Linked DNA regions of Canis lupus familiaris. The protein of the gene in region 2 interacts with the protein of the main gene of each other region in a pairwise test. Links are inferred from orthologs where the notes say so. Each region holds a gene or a part of one and is shown on either strand. Other genes may lie near its edges.

Region 1 (4,252 bases), on a different chromosome or scaffold from region 2:
GGACGGAAGCGGAGGCAGGGACAGGAGAGAGACAGGAAGAGAGACAGGGAGGCCTAAAGCCAGTCGGGCGGAGCCCTGAGGGCGCCTCCCGGAGCTGGAGTCCCGCTGCGGCCAAGCCAGCGAGCGACACACCTTCCACTCCGAGCGACACACCTTCCACTCGGATCGCTCGCTCGGTTACAATCCAGTAAGAGGTTCAAGGTCAATGGAACGTTCCGCAGGACACCGTGTCCGGGCTTGAGCTTCCCTCCTGGGGGTGCCCGGGGTGTGTGTGCATGTGTGTGTGCAGGTGCACGTGTGTGTGCAGGTGCCTTCTGCGTGTGCACAGGTGCCGTCTGCGTGTGCAGGTGCACGCGTATGTGCAGGTGCCTTCTGCGTGTGCACAGGTGCCGTCTGCGTGTGCAGCTGGACACACAGGTGCATGTGCGTGTGCAGGTGCCTTCTGAGTGTGCGCAGGTGCCCTGTGTGTGTGCAGGTGCACGAATGCACAAGTGCGTGTGCGTGTGCAGGTGCCCTCTGTGTGCAGGTGCACGCGTGTGTGCAGGTGCCGTCTGCGTGTGCACAGGTGCCGTCTGCGTGTGCGTGTGCAGGTGCCTTCTGCGTGCGCAGGTGCCCCGTGTGTGTGCAGGTGCACGAATGCACAGGTGCATGCGTGGCCGGCTCAGCATGGCCCCGTGCAGCGAGCGCCGCCGCGAGTCACCCATCCATGCGGGCTGCAGCACCCCCACATGAGGGCGCGGGGGTCTTGGGGGGGCCCAGGCTTGGGCTCGCTGGGGTTGGTCTGGGGCGTCCGCATGGGCCAGTGGGCGGGGCGCTGGAGTGAGGACGGGTCGGGCGGCCAGTCGTGGGGACTGTGGGCTTTTGGAGGGGGGAAGTGCAGGTGGCAGGCGACCTGACCTTGCGGTCTTCGAGCTGACCTTGGGGTCTTCCAGAGGAGCCCGGGGCCGCGACGTGACCTCGGGGTCAGCACACGGGGCCAAGGGGTCGCGGTCGGGGGACGGGTCGCGCAGGGTCAGGGTCGCGGTGCTGGGCGCGCCCGGGGGGCCAGCGGCTGGAAGGAGCCCGAGCTCGCGGACCCGCCGCCGCCGCCGCCCCCTCCCCCCGCCGGGAGCGCCCAGGGCCCGCGGCGACCTTCACAAGGTCACGGCGGCGGCCGAGCCCTCGGGCCGCACGGCGCATGGGCGGGGTCCCGCTCCCGGCATGCCTCGGGGCCCGGCGCGCGGGAAGGGGCGGGGCAACGGCAGCAGCGCAGCCAATGGGCGCGGCGCGGGCGGGCACGGGGCGGGGCGCGCTGCGGCTCCCGGCAGCCCGCGGGGGCGCGGCGCGCGGGAAGGGGCGGGGCGTCGGCGGGCGGCGCGGCCAATGGGCGCGGCGGGCGGGGGCGCGGGGCGGGGCTTCGGGCCCTTAGCGGCTGCGCGCTGGGCGCCCCGTCCTTTCGGTCCCGGCGGCGGCAGCGCGGAGCCAGCGGCGCCCTCCCTCCCTCCCTCCCTCCCTCGGTTCGCCCGTCCGTCCGGCTGTCCGCGCCCGCACTCCGCCGTCCGCCGCCCGCCCGCCCGCCGCCATGACGGAGCAGGCCATCTCGTTCGCCAAGGACTTCCTAGCCGGAGGCATCGCCGCCGCCATCTCCAAGACGGCCGTGGCCCCGATCGAGCGGGTCAAGCTGCTGCTGCAGGTGCGCACGGCGCGTGCGCGCTCGGGGACCCGGGACGGCGGTCCCGTCGGGGGGGGGGGGTCCGGGCGTGCTGCGAGGGCTCGCGGTGGGGGGTGACAGCGGGGCGGGCCGGCCGCGTGCACCGGGACCCGCGGCCGCCGGAAGTGCGAGGCCGCGCCGCTTTGTCCGCGCGCCGCCCGCTTCCGGGGCCGGGCCGGCCGCGCGTCACGTGGCGCTCTCCGCGCGTGCGCGCTGGGGCAGAGCTCTCGGGCGCCCGGAGCGCGGGCCTCGCCCCCGCGGTTCCCACCGTCGAGGCCGAGCGGACCGCGGGAGCCCCGCGAGCGCCCCCTGTGATGGAGGCCGGGACTTTGCTCCGCCCCGTTCCGGCCTGAGAGGCGGCGAGCCGCGGCGCTCCGCTGGGAAGTCGTTGCGCCCGCGGCCAGCTGGCGGCAACATTGTTGCAGCGCCTCCTTGGCAACATTGTTGCAGCGCGTCCTTGGCAACGTTGTTGCGGGTGGGGCAGTGGGAACATTGTCGGTTGACCCGTGCGGACCTGCGGGGACCAGTGTCCTGGGCTGTGCCCCGTCCTGTCGAGCCAGTGCACGCTCCCGTGCACGGATGAGCGGTGCGGACTTGCAGGGACCAGTGTCCTGGGTGTGCCCGGTCCTGTCGACCCAGTGCGCTCCTCCCGTGCACGGATGAGCGGTTCCGACTTGCAGGGACGCGCCTCCCGGGATGAGTGCCCTCCGGTGCTGGGTTGACCGGTGGTGTCCTGGGCTGTGCCCCATCCTGTCGACCCAGTGCGCTCCTCCCGTGCACGGTTGAGCGGTTCCACTTGCAGGCATAGGCCCCCCCGGGATATGAGCTCTCCCGTGGAGCTACCGTGCTCACATGCAGGAATTCCCCTCCAGGGACTCGCCTACCCTAGGGACGCTGGCTGGTACTGCGTGCGGGCCCTCTAACGAGCCTGTCCGCCCGTCTATCTCGCAGGTGCAGCACGCCAGCAAGCAGATCGCCGCCGACAAGCAGTATAAGGGCATCGTGGACTGCATCGTGCGCATCCCCAAGGAGCAGGGCGTGCTGTCCTTCTGGAGGGGCAACCTGGCCAACGTGATCCGCTACTTCCCCACGCAGGCCCTCAACTTTGCGTTCAAGGATAAGTATAAGCAGATCTTCCTGGGGGGCGTGGACAAGCACACGCAGTTCTGGAGGTACTTTGCCGGCAACCTGGCATCAGGCGGGGCCGCGGGCGCCACCTCCCTCTGCTTCGTGTACCCGCTGGATTTCGCCAGAACCCGTCTGGCGGCTGACGTCGGCAAGTCGGGCACCGAGCGGGAGTTCAAGGGCCTTGGAGACTGCCTGGTGAAGATCACCAAGTCCGACGGCATCCGGGGCCTCTACCAGGGCTTCAACGTGTCCGTGCAGGGCATCATCATCTACCGGGCGGCCTACTTCGGCGTCTACGACACGGCCAAGGGTACGTGTGTTCTTGCTGTGGGGCTGCACGTGCGGCGGGGGCTCCGGGATCCGCTGTTGGCAGAGCCGCACTCTGCAGGGTGGGAAGTCTGACATCCACACGTCCACGGGGTTGCTGGCGTTCGTGGCGTCTCCTCGGTGTGTAGATGGCAGTTTTGTCCGTGTGTCCTCACGTGGGCCTCTTCTGTGCGTCTGAGTTTAGATTTTTTACAGGGTGTTGATGGTGTTGGATTAGGGTCTCCTCTGAAGACGCTTTACACTGTTTTTTAAAGGCAGTTATTTTTAGGTATCCGGGGTTTTCAGCGTGAACATTAGGGTGTGCCGTTCACACCCTGAAAGCTAGTGTCTGTGCAGCAGAACCGCCTCTTGTGTGGTACATGCACTTACCAGGCTCGCCTGTCCCTCTCTGTAGAGAGAGCCCGTTCGTTCCCAGGCACTAAGCGTGGGCCTCAGGGACCGCTCTATGCCCTGCGGGTGGTTCCATGCCGTTCCCTGGTCGCGGGGGCTCCACGTGGCACCAGGGCAGGCAGTACTGCTCTTGCCCCGCTGTGTGTGTGGCACTGGAACCTAACGCTGGCTGGTGACCCCGCAGGCATGCTCCCAGACCCCAAGAACACGCACATTGTGGTGAGCTGGATGATCGCCCAGACTGTGACGGCCGTGGCCGGCGTGGTCTCCTACCCCTTCGACACCGTGCGGCGGCGGATGATGATGCAGTCCGGGCGCAAAGGAGGTACGTTGTCTCGGTCCTGGTGACCGGGACTTGTCCTCGGAGATGAGAGATACAAGAGCTCCTGGAATGACGGGCCCTTTGGTGGCCTCAGGCCATGGGAAGCGGGGCTAACAGATGAGGTTCTTCACAGGGTTTGAGACCGTAACTGTTGATCCAGGGGCGCTAGAACCCTGCAGCCCTGCCGGGTACCTGCCCGGGCCCTTGGTGCTGCCCGTGCTTTGGTCTTCTCTACGCTGGCCCGGGACCTTGCACTGATCCCAGGAGTGGACACGGGGCTGCAATTTGGGTGTTTTGGTTATAGCCACAGCAGTGGGCTGAGCAGCGGCCAAGACCTGGAGCTGTTGGTGTGCAGAGCCTCATTTTTCCCTGGGATGAGAAATCCAGGTCGCCTG
Region 2 (3,558 bases):
GTGTACCACTCCCGAGTCAGTCTGCAAATATCCCCAACCCTGCACATGCATTCACTTTCTTGCTCTCTCAAATGAATAAATCTTAAAAGGAGATCTTACAAGGATGAAATGATTTTTCATCTTTATGTTTGGAATCTGCTTTAAAATTATCCATTAGGAGGAGTGGGAGTCAGGAAAGCATGTATAGGGAGAATAAATAAGATTGGTCATGGGTTGGGGTGCCTGGGTGCTTAAGCATCTGCCTTCAGCTTAGGTCATGATCCCAGGGTCCTGCTTCCTGCTCAGTTGAGAATCTCCTTCCCTCTCTCCCTCTGTTCCTCCCACGGCTTGTGCACTCTCTCTCAAATAAATAAATAAAATCCTAAGGAAAAAAAAAAAAAAAGACTTGTCACGTGCTGGTAACCACTGAAACTACAAGATGGGGATTTAGGGATTTAGAATACTATTCCCTCTACTTGAATATGTTTGGAAGTTTCCAGAATAAAAAAAAAATGAGTGTTAAGACCTATTAAGTAAAAACAGAAGTAGTTACTCCTTGAGTTTCTACTACTTCTGACCCATAAGCTTAATTTTCCCCATGATAAATAGATAAAACCCAGGTTACTGAAACTTCAATGATACGCCTAACCTTTGTCAGCCTGGGAAGGTTTCTTCTGGCTTTCTTCTCCCATCTGGCAAGGATGCACCAAAACCAGCTAACAGAAGGCTCTCCATATGGTTTGAACTGGATGACGAATGCTGGCATAAAGAATGCTTAAAAACCTGAACACTCATAGTCACTGCCAGTACTTCTCTAGAGGCTCTCTTTTGCAACAGAGGTTGCTTATTTGCAATGCAGACATTACCTACATCAAACAATACTTCCTGAAAAGCCTACTTGAGGTAGACGAGACTGGTCTTGAGTTCCTAGGGGTGGAAATGTTACCTTCACAAAGCTGTTGACAGCCATGATGGCCATGTCTGGCTGACTCTTGGCATAGTTCATCAAATAGAGATAAACAAGCTTCTTTAATTCCAGGTTGTCGGTTTGCATACAGTTCACTACATCTGGAAAAAGAGAGCTGAGAAGAGAAGAGAAAAAAGAAAAGGAAAATGAATAGATGTTGGTGCCAAGCTATTGGATAGAATATGGAGAAATAGCCTTTACAAAGTGATCTGATGCAAAGAAGTATGTCCCCACAGTGATAACAATTAACACTGATCTCAATTTCTAAGGAAACTGTAGTACAAGACCCAAGAAGATCTCTAAAATAGATTTAAGGGGATCCCTGGGCGGCTCAGCGGTTTAGCGCCTGCCTTTGGCCCAGGGCGCAATCCTGGAGTCCCGGGATCGAGTCCCATGTCGGGTTCCCGGCATGGAGCCTGCTTCTCCCTCCTCCTGTGTCTCTGCCTCTCTCTCTCTCTATGTCTATCATAAATAAATAAATCTTTAAAAAAAATAAAAATAAAAAATAAAATAGATTTAAGAAACTTTTCATTGTTAGCAAAATTTTTTTTTAAGTTTATTTATTTATTCATGAGAGACACCGAGAGAGAGAGGGAGGCAGAGACACAGATAGAGGGAGAAGCAGGCTCCTCGCAGGGAGCCCGATGTGGGACTCGATCCTGAATCCCGGGATCATGCCCTGAGACAAAAGCAGATGCTCAAACGCTGAGCCACCCAGGCGTCCCAGCAAATTTTCTAACAAAAGTAGAGCAATATGGGTAGCCTGGTGGCTCAGCGGTTTAGTGTCACCTTTAGCCCAGGGCCTGATCCTGGAGACCCGGGATCATGTCCCATGTCAGGCTCCCTGCATGGAGCCTGCTTCTCCCTCTGCCTGTGTCTCTGCCTCTCTGTCTCTCTCATGAATAAATAAAAAAATCTTAAAAAAAAAAAAAAAGTAGAGCAATATAATGAACCCAATATATCCATCACCCAGCTGCAAAGAAGCATTAACACATGTCCAATCTTGTTTTATACATGTCCTCAATCCAATATCCCTTCCCCTGTCCCTATCCCACCTAGTTGCTCTGGATTTTTTTCCCAACATAGAACTTGAACTCATGACCCTGAGATCAGGACCTGAGTTGAGATCAAGAATTGCACACTTAACCGACTGAGCTACCCAGGAGCCCCAGTCTGGATTATTTTTAACGAAATCCTAGACATTATGTAATTTCATACATATTTTAGGGCATATCTTTAGGAATCTTGTTTTTTATTTGTATTTATTTTTTTTGGAATCTTGTTTTTTAAAAGCACAATCTTTATCACACACAGAAATTAACAGTAATTCTACATATTGCAGGTTCGAAGCACTATGGCTGCTACGTTTTTAATGTTCATATTCTATCCTTGGGCAGTGGGAACTTACTCAGCTAGCTTCTGAGTTCCTGTGATGTAATCCTGCATTTTCATCAGCCTCCTCACTTTCTGGTAGGACAAAATTCACTAACCAAGATTTCTTTGTACATTTCTAATCTCAAAACTGAAACCAGTCATTTTTCTAAGAAGTCTTGACTCCCTTCTAGAATTTATTCTTAATATTACAAACTCAGACAAATGAAAATTTCAGTGTCCTCAGATATAAAAGCTTACACTTTTCCAAAGTTCAAGTCATTTTATGATTTCCTACTCTCTTATAAAGCCAAACAGTGGCTTTATTTTGGAATGGCCTCCAAATCATTAGTTTGGAAGGAATGAATTTATTTGATTTTAAAATATAAGCTGTATTTTTTCAAGTACACGTTAACTATAATTTTTTAGGAGAGACTGGTAATTAACCTTCCTCCTAGGCTTTATCAAAGTACTACATAAATTTTAAATACTTTTTTAAAAATTTATTTGAGAGAGAGAGAGAGAGAGAGAGAGAGAGAGAGAGAACAGGCACAAGCACGAGTGGGAGGGGCAAAGAGAGAAGGAGAAAGAATCCCAAGTAGACTCTGAGCCTTAGGTGGAGCTTGACCTCACAACCCTGAGATCATGACTGGAGCTGAAAACAAGAGTCAGATGCTTAACTTACTGTGCCACCCAGGAGCCCCTGAATTTTAAGAACTTAACAGCTTACTACAAGTACAGAAAAAGCAAACATCAATATATTTATTTATATATATATATATATATATATTTATATATATCTCTCTACAGGAAAGAGAATGATTGAAATAACTAGTCACATGGTAATGGCTCCTGTACACACACACAATAAGCAGAAAGTTATTTACAAATAGGAAGATGTTTTGCAAAGTCAAAGAATCTACTATATCTCCAACAAACCAATGAGTTCTGCTCTAAATGTCATTTAACCTGAGTATACACACCTAATGTAGTTTCATGCACATGTATTCAATAAACATTACACTCCCCCAAAATGAATGTCTTACCATTTCCTAGAGTAACTCATGGGCAAAACAACTGTAAAACTGGTAATAAATGTGACACATTAGCAAATGTAAGATCCTGAATAATTCCAACAACCTGCACAAGATCAAGAAGATCTTGATCAAGAACAAGTTCTAGAGGTAAAAACTGTTAAGCACCAACCTATAAAGCTAGAAACCTCAACTTTCTACTATGGT
Region 3 (4,319 bases), on a different chromosome or scaffold from region 2:
CTCCCTCATTTCAGCATCAAGCTGAGGCCCTATCAGCACTCCGGGTTCCCAGACAAGACTGGTGGGGATGAGATGCCTCAGTCATCTCTAGGAGGAGATTGCCATAATGCCAGTGCCATAAATGAATTAAAAAATGATTGAGACTGAAAAAAAAAAAAAAAAAAAGGCAAGATTAGGTTTCTAATTTTATCCTGTACTTAAATCCGTGGCTCTTTTAAAACCTGAGACTTCTTAAACTTTTAATTTCGTAATCATGGCTAACAAAAATTTTTAACTCTCAATCAGCTTTCCACACAATCTACGATAAGCAGTCCGAATTATTTTTGGTTAAGTTCAGGTTTTAAAGTAACGAAAAGCTTTAAAGAAAATCTAGAATAAATTCCCTACACTCACAGCTTAATTTTGCACCGCGCTGAATGGCTCTCCGAGAGCAGAGCCATCCTCCGAGCGGCGGAACAACAGCCCGCTCCAACTAGTTAGAAATGCAAATAATGGGGCCCCACCCCAGACCTGCCGAATCCGAAGTCTGGGGTTCTGGGGTGGGGCGGGGCGACGGTGTCTGAACAAGCCCTCCGGGGGTTGCTGACGCTCCGGAGTCTGAGAGCCACAGGCTGAGGGGTTAAGAGTCGGACTGCCCAGGCTCCAACCTTGCAGTCAAGGTTGACTTGCTGAGTAATCAAGAATACACTACTCAGCTTCTCTAGACTTGTTCCTCGTCTACACAAGGGAATTGCGGGGTTGTTTTCAAGACTGAATAAGAAAACACGTTAGTGCTGAAGAGGGATGCCCGGCGCTTAGGAAACATCCAAATGTTAGGCTCGGTGCAAGGCCCTTCGCGGGTCTGTCCGCCGGGAGGGGAGACAAAGGCGGAAAAAGCTTAACCCCTGCCCCTCCTGCCCACGGACGGGGCGGACAAGAGTGCACCGACGCACAACACTCCCCTCAGGGAAACCCAGACCCGCTCCTGGAAGGGCCGCACCAGCTGATTCGGACGCCGCGGGGCCGCTGGGCTCGTCCGCCCCGCGCTCAGGACCCGGTTCCGGAGCCCCGGGGTCAAGTCCCGGGATGGAGTCCAGCACCCGCTCCCCCAAGGAGGCCTGCTTCTCCCTCTGCCTCTCTCCGCGTCTCGTGGGTAAATAAAATCTTTAAGAGAAAGAAAAAAGAAACGACCAATTCCCACCAAACAATGCAAGAGACGGCCTTCAGCGACGGCACGGGAGCAAGACCAGAGTTCCAAAGCCCGAACATAAGAAAAAGTCAAGGTCCCAAGGAGGAGGCAAGAGCACCGCGCCCGGCAGCCCGGCTCTGCGGCTGAACGACTGACGAGACAGAGACAGCGACGGGGCAGGAGGGAGGAGGTGTCTGTCCTCCCCGGCCGCGGGCCTGGGGCGCGGGCGCGGGCGCGGGCTCAGCCTCCTCCCCGCACTCCGGGGCACCCTCATTTGCAAACTAACTTCCCCTTCTGCTTCCGGAACGCCCCAGAGACGGCTCTGCTGCCCTCCGGCCCCTCAAGCCGCAGAGAAGGGGGAAGCGTGCCCGGAGCCCCGCAGCCGCAGGAGTGGGCCTGCTCCAACCCAACTCGACGCCGGAACGCTCTCGGCCGCCGGCTACCGCAACGCCACATTGGACAGGGGAAGAAGAAGAAGAAGAAGGGAAAAAAGAACTTCCTTTATTCAAAGGCAAAACTTGGAGAAAGTGGAGGCAGCACAGGGAGGGGGGAAAGGACAGTTTTTCCCCTTCGTCCCTCCGCGAAACCCCGTCCGGGCGCCTGCGGGATCCAGACGGCTTTCCGTGGCCCGAAGGCCGAGGTTTTCCTTCCGGTCATTGTGTTTATTTCCCCCAAAGAACAGGCCCCGCGGGGCCGGCGCGCCGGCCGGGCCGGGACAAAGCCCACTCCGGGCTCCACCTGGGCGCGGGCAGGGGCGGGGAGGGGCGGGGGCGGGGCGGGGCGGGGCGGGGCGGGGCGGGCGGCGCTCCGGGGCCCGCCGGCCCCGGGCCGCAGTTACCAGGCAGCGCGGCGGCGCCGCCCCCGCCGCCCGCCGGCCAATCGCGCGCGTCTGCTGCCCGGGCGCACGAGCCCCGGAGACACCAGGCCGAGCGCGACCCCACGGCTCGGGCCTGGCACCGCGCGCGCACCCGCACCGCCCGAGCCGGCCAATCAGCGGCCGGGCATGCGCAGCCCGCAGGCTCGCTCGCGCGCGGGACTCACGCGTGAGCCCCCCCACGCAGCGCCGGCGCGCGCGCCCCTCCCCCCGCGCTCCCAGGCGCGCGCGTGCAACTGTCGTCCCCCGCGACCGCGTCTCCTCCCGCCCCACCCCCAACACGGCGGCCCGGGTACCCCGGCCCCAGTCCGCGCGGGCCCCGGGGGGGCGCGTCTCAAAGAAGGGCCCCGCTCGCGATGGCAACCGGGGCGGGGGGCGCGGGGGAGGCGACGGGGACTCACCCGAGTGCAGCCGCCTCCAGGCAGCGCCGGGGCTGGGGGAGCCGAAAGGAAGCGCGTGTGGGCCGAGCAAGAGCTGCGGCCGCGGCGGAGCAGCTCCGGGCTGGGGCGAGCGGGCGAGCGGGCAGGAGGTGAGAGGGCGAGGGGCCCGGGCGTCTTGGCCGAGCTCCTGTCACCGCCGCATGGCCGCCCCGGCAGGGCCTGGGTCAGCGCCTAGATCCGATCACGGGGGACCGAGGGAGAGGCCGGGATCACCGCGGCAGGCGGGCGGCCTCAGCTAGAGAGCGCGTGCGGGGAAGCGGGGGGGCGATCGGTGGCCCCTTTTCTCTGCTCTCCGAGCTTCTCTCTCACCCTCCTCCTCCTCCTCTTTTTTTTTTTTTTTTTTGTTCCTCGAAGGCGCGCTGCGCGTGCGCACCCGCAGCGCCGCCCAGCGGGAGTTGTAGTTTTGTGGTTCGTCCCCACCAACGCGACGGCGGGGGCGGCGGACTACGACTCCCAGGAAGCCCCGCGCCGGCGAGCCCCGAGCCCGAGGACGCGGCGAGCGCGGCGCCCGGCCCTCTCCGGCAAGGACTGTCAATGGAGGCGCGGGTGGTGGGAGCAAGAACATGGCTGCACCTGGGGCCTGCGCGGCCGCCCGGGTGGGGGAGGGGAGCCGGGGCGCGGGGCGCCGGCCTAGGCCGGGGGCGGCCCCCGCCTGCTCAGCGCCGCGGTGCCGCGGGCCCGAGCCACCGTCCGGGGCTCGCACTCACTCGTGCGTCCGACATTCCCTGCCGATGGCGAGGCCGGAACATGGCAGAGGCCCGGGAGCCCCAGGCCGGCCCGCCGGTCCCTGTGCTCCGCCGAGGGACTTCCTCCGCCCTGCACCACCCTCCCGGACACAAAGAGCTCCTCTGTTAGTTTTGCAAGCTTGCCTCCGAGGCGGCCGGAGGAGACCGGAGCCCCAACCTGCGCCGGGGCAGGGGGCGGGGGGCTCCTGTTTTTATTTACCACCCCCACCCCCACCCCACCCACACAGCCCAGACTTTCCCCTCGCTCCCTCGCTCCACGTTTAGAGGCAAAGTTGAGAGAAAGCCGCGGAGGGAGCAGAAAACCTGCCCTGTAGCCCGCTGGGTTTTGTTCTGTCGACCGCGGAGAAACTGGACCGAAACCTCTCCCCCGCACCCCGCACCCCGCACCCCGCACCCCGCCTCCCGCCTCCCGATTGTGCTTTTTCGCTTTCCAACTTGAGCTCTCGAATGTCGAAAACGCTGAGACACTGCTCTTCACCTAAGCGACGCTCAAAAGTTTACAGAACTCGAGCCCCGAGGTCGAGGGCGGTTCTGCGGAGCACTGGACCGAAGGGTTTCACGATTCTTCCCCCCGGCGGCGATGGGGGGGCCCCGCCGGCCGCCCTCCTCCCCACCCCCACCCCCGCCCCCACCCCTTCTCCCCTCCCCCTCGGTAGGTGGCGACCACGGCGCTTTTTTCCAGCCTTTGTCGCTGGAAAGAAAACTTTCCGAGCAGCCAGTCTTTTTGATGTCGGTCCAAGACCTTCCCTTTGAATCTCGGTGCCCGCAGATCGGCGTTCCCCCATCTCCTCCCGCGTCGACCGCACCCGGAAAGCCTCCCCTAGAATTCCCACGTCGGGATTCTTTAAAACAGACGGAGGCTTTCGCGGTCCCTGCGGGAGCCGCGCGATTTGCAGAAGATGGGCACGTCTCTACGGTTTCCCCCTCGCCTCCCACAGGCATTTCTGTCCCCGCCGGGCTCGATCGGGACTCTCCTTTGTCGAGCCTCTCTCCAAAGCGTTCCATTCCGTTTTCAAACAAGAACAGTGTTTCTTTTTTGCACTCGTATTTCATTACCATATTGGCATATTTAATTAAACTCCGTAGTCCCA
Region 4 (4,205 bases), on a different chromosome or scaffold from region 2:
CCCTGTCTGTCTATCATGAATAAATAAATAAATCTTAAAAAAAAAAAAAAAAAGTCTGAACCATTAGTGCTGCATTATGCCACAGTTTTTCACAATTCTAACTTCTAATTTCCTATATTTCTAGTTTAAGAGATAGATTCATGTTACATAAAGGATATAAGAAAGAAAAAACCTCAACCTTTTGATATTCACCATATAATTTTGATTTGGAAAATTACTCAAGAATAGACTGCATACTGTAGACATAACCAAATAGGCTATTTTCTTGTAGGTTCTATTGCAGTACTGCAAACTGTAAACATTTGGACTAAAAAAAAAAAAAAAAATCAACTAAAAGTATAAAACACTGCTCTCAATCTTTTTCATTATCTTCCCTTACATAGAATAACTATGATATATTCTGATTTGGCTACACAATATTAGTAGCTTATCATGGTTCCTAATACCAAAAATGTAGTAGTGAATCTGTTAAGATACAAAATAAACAAGACTTTAAAAAAAATAAAAAAAATAAGAATTTCTATCATCCCTTTGCTGAAGGTTCAGTTACTGAACATACATAGAAGTGGTTAAAATACAGTTATATTATCACAACTCAACACTTAACAGTGATAACTCCAAATGAACATGAAATCAAGCAAATACCAATAAGTTTATTTATTGTTGTTGAATTACAAGCTGGGTGGCTTTATTCAGAAACACAAATTTCAAAATACAGCTGTTTTACCCAGTGCCAATTTTAAGCAAACGGAAAAATAAATGTGCATGACAGTAAATGACAGTGATACACGATCACTTTAAATATACCTTAACGACAAGGACTGTTTTATCTTTGGAATTCAAACGTATTCTTCAAAACATTTCAAATCAGATGCCGAGGTGATATTCGTACTGCTCTAACAAATACTGCACAAATACCAGACTTTCCAAATAAATTTTAGGGAATAAATAATGTTTACAAAATGCATATAATTGGCATGGGTATAAGTGGCATAATGCAAGAGAATATGGACAATATATTCATATACGAGCAGCAGAGGAACAAGACTTTTCTATAGGATAACTATGTAAAATACACAGACCTATTTTAAATTTATATATACATATAAACACATTATAGTCTGTGCTTTGCAAATTTCCAATGAGCTTCAATCCATATAGGTACTAAAATCTTCATCATTATTTAATACAAATATGTCTAGCCTACCTACTAGCCTCCATGCTATCTGACAAATTAAACTGCTCTACTTATTTCTCAAAAAAATCCTGTAAAAAACCAAGACTCTTTAAAATTACATATCTTACAGAAATGCATCCTAATCTGCCGAGTGGACCAAAGGAATACATTGTTGTTGCTAAACACATTTTAAAAATACAGGATGTTGCTGTTCGTATAAGACTTGTTTCTCTTGGGAAACACAAAGACAGTCGAATGAAATTGCAATGAAAGATGCAGGAAAGATGGGGGAAAAAAAAAAAAAAATGACTGCAGGAGTCCAAGAATCCCAGAGAAAAGAGCCTGACTGGTGAGTTTCTGTTTTGTAAGAGATAAGATAAACAATTTGGAAAACATATTCTACTTCAAATAATCCGTTCCAGATTCTTACCACTTGGAAGGTATATTCTGTCGGATCGAATGCAAGTTCAACAAAGGAACATCACAACTTGCAAGGCTTCTAAAAACCAAATCTTTTAAGACAGTCGGAGCTAGATGCAAACGTTTTTGATTCGACTCTAGGGAATGAATGAACGTCCTTTCCCCTTTAGGCATGTCGCTGCTCTTCCGAAAACTCGGAGCTGCGAAATATTCTTGGACTCCGGCTCCCAACATCGTCACACGTACGACCCGCAGTATCTACCTGCACTTGCCAGACTGTTACCAAAATTGAACGGAGTCGCCGAGGTAGTAGAAACACCGAAATTCCCAATATTAAAGTTCACTGCAGGATTAGCAGTTAATCCGAAACCCCCAAAATTAAACCCACTGGCGGTGGAGTTGGCAGTCTCAAGCCCACCAAATCCTGATCGGCGTGTAGGCACAGAAACAAAATTTTAAAACGGGGGAGGGGGGAGAAAAAGAAAAGAGAAAAGAAAAGAAAAGGAAAAGAAAGCAAGACAAGGGTTAGAAGAGTCAGCAGGTCTCACAGAAGCGAACGAGGACAAACCTCGACTTAGCTCCAGCGGGTTAAGAAAGCGGAGGTGGAGGCGGGGACGGGAGGGAGGAGCCCGAGCGCGAGGTCCCGCAGCCCCGACCCAAGGGCCCGCCCCGAGCGGCCGCCGCGCAGCCCCGACCCGCCAGCCCCAACCGGACCTCGGGGCCCCGGGGGCTCGGGCGGGGAGAGCCGGGCCGCCGTCCGGCAGCGGGAGCGCGGAGCCGCCGTCTGGCCTCCGGAGGGCCCCCGGCGGCGGGAAGCGGACCCCGGGAGGGCGACGCTGTGCGGGGAGCCACGGGCTGGGCCTCGGAACCCCCGCGGCCTCCTCAGGAGCCGCCCGGGCCCGCTCAGCCGCGGCCCCTGGCCCGGAGCCCCCGGAGTCCCCAAGCAGCCAGGACACCCCCAGGGTCTCCGGGCCGCACAGGCTCGGGCCGGGGGGCTGCACCGGGGGCCGCCCCTCCTTCCCGGGAGGACCACTCACCCGCGGGGGCCGCGGGGGCCGCGGCGGTGCCAGAGGTGCCCGAGGGAGCCCCGAAGTTGAAGGCCATGTCGCGCGAGCAGGGGACGCAGGCGCCGCCCCCACGACCCTCGGTGCGCGCCGCTCTTCAGTCCCGCCGAGAGCCGCCTCCGGCTCACCGAGTTCCGGCCCTTTTCTGGCCGCGCCTCGGAAGCCCGAACGCCGGAAGCGCAGGGGCGGGGCCTGGCGGGAGCGCGCCGGGTCCGCCCGCTTCCGGGGCCTGAGCGCGTCCCGCGGCGCAGGGCGTGACGTCGCGGCGGTGCCGCGGGCCCCGGGCTCAGCGCCTCAGGGAGGGCCCGGGCGGAGGCGGGCTCCGCTGCTGACGGGCGTGTGGCGGGGACCGGGCGGGAGGCCGCGATCCCCGTCTCCGCAGCGCGGAGCCCACTGTCACGCCGGAGCTCACGAGGACCCCGAAGCGGCCTCTTTCCCGTGTTCTACCGCCCCGAGTCGTCTGGGAGTCGGCACGTGGGCAGGGACAGGCCCCACCGTGCGCGCCCTCCTCCGCCAGCGGCGGCCTCGGGGCAGCGGGTGCCGAGGAGCGGACTCCAGCCCCGGACTGCGGTGAGTCGGGTGGCCCCTCTGCTTGGACTGTCTTGGCTTTTTGCGTCTTGCAGGCCGGGCGTGCATCTCAGTGACGACTTGACGTGGGATCCCTGCGGGGCAGCGGTTGGGCGCGACCCTGGAGACCCGGGATCCAGTCCCAGTCGGGCTCCCTGCGTGGAGCCTGCTTCTCCCTCTGCCTGTGTCTCTGCCTCTCTCTCTGTCTCTCTCTGTGTGTGACTATCATAAATAAATAAAAATTAATAAATAAAAATTTAAAAAAAAGACTTGACGTTCCGCTCCGAGGTGGAAGGACGCCCCGACCCCGCTGAAGGCCTCCAAGCGTCTCCCTGACGCCGGCTCCTCTTCCGGGCAGTACTGGCCTAGCATTTTTCCTATTCTTGTTTATAAATGCATTTTTTTTGTTTTTAAGACACGCACAGGTGTATTTGAAATTGATTTTTTGACTGTACGGTACTGAAAATTTTCTCGAGATGATGGAAGATGTCGACACTGGCATCTGCGATCCATGCCCAAGTGTTGATCTCTCTGCACCGTCCTCCTAAGGACAAGGGCGGTAACGAGCTAGAAACCAGCAGGGGAAGGTGTTTATCTCCTGCTCTCTCAAATGAGTCGTATTAATAATCATTATTGCAAGAAATAATAATAATCATCATTATTGCAAAATAATGTAACGATAATTTATTAATAATAAAGTAATAATGATTTTCAAAAAGAATTTATTGTTGATATCTCAGAATAAATGCTGCATCACATTGATTTTTTTGCAGACTTTCGCCTGCAGTATTTTGTAATTTGGACACTTCACCTCTCGTGAGAGAAAAGACATCCCACTGTTGTACATCAATCATTGAAAAGAAAAGGAATACACGAAATTAAGAATTATGGAGATTGTACAAATAGTGGGAAGTTTCGAAGCAAGTAAAGACTATATCAATTAGGAAAGGTGTATATGTATGTTTTGAGCATCTACT

Evidence for each region.
Region 1: the proteins of AP2B1 (region 2) and SLC25A6 interact in binary tests that used the Homo sapiens proteins (3 or more experiments, as listed by UniProt). The link is inferred for Canis lupus familiaris from reciprocal best matches to the Homo sapiens genes AP2B1 and SLC25A6.
Region 3: the proteins of AP2B1 (region 2) and GTF2I interact in binary tests that used the Homo sapiens proteins (3 or more experiments, as listed by UniProt). The link is inferred for Canis lupus familiaris from reciprocal best matches to the Homo sapiens genes AP2B1 and GTF2I.
Region 4: the proteins of AP2B1 (region 2) and NUP54 interact in binary tests that used the Homo sapiens proteins (3 or more experiments, as listed by UniProt). The two-hybrid records come from large-scale screens. The link is inferred for Canis lupus familiaris from reciprocal best matches to the Homo sapiens genes AP2B1 and NUP54.

Annotation. Positions count from the first base shown.
Region 1 is NC_049260.1:869,250-873,501, reverse strand, and holds the start of SLC25A6 (ADP/ATP translocase 3), read left to right. Parts: upstream 1-1,432; 5' UTR 1,433-1,561; coding exon 1,562-1,672; intron 1,673-2,641; coding exon 2,642-3,128; intron 3,129-3,719; coding exon 3,720-3,860; intron 3,861-4,252. UniProt on the Homo sapiens protein: ADP:ATP antiporter that mediates import of ADP into the mitochondrial matrix for ATP synthesis, and export of ATP out to fuel the cell.
Region 2 is NC_049230.1:38,024,944-38,028,501, forward strand, and holds part of AP2B1 (AP-2 complex subunit beta), read right to left. Parts: intron 1,062-3,558; coding exon 926-1,061; intron 1-925. UniProt on the Homo sapiens protein: Component of the adaptor protein complex 2 (AP-2). Adaptor protein complexes function in protein transport via transport vesicles in different membrane traffic pathways.
Region 3 is NC_049227.1:5,756,035-5,760,353, forward strand, and holds the start of GTF2I (general transcription factor II-I), read right to left. Parts: upstream 2,821-4,319; 5' UTR 2,444-2,820; intron 1-2,443. UniProt on the Homo sapiens protein: Interacts with the basal transcription machinery by coordinating the formation of a multiprotein complex at the C-FOS promoter, and linking specific signal responsive activator complexes.
Region 4 is NC_049253.1:39,406,834-39,411,038, reverse strand, and holds the start of NUP54 (nucleoporin p54), read right to left. Parts: upstream 2,821-4,205; 5' UTR 2,702-2,820; coding exon 2,635-2,701; intron 2,022-2,634; coding exon 1,860-2,021; intron 1-1,859. UniProt on the Homo sapiens protein: Component of the nuclear pore complex, a complex required for the trafficking across the nuclear membrane.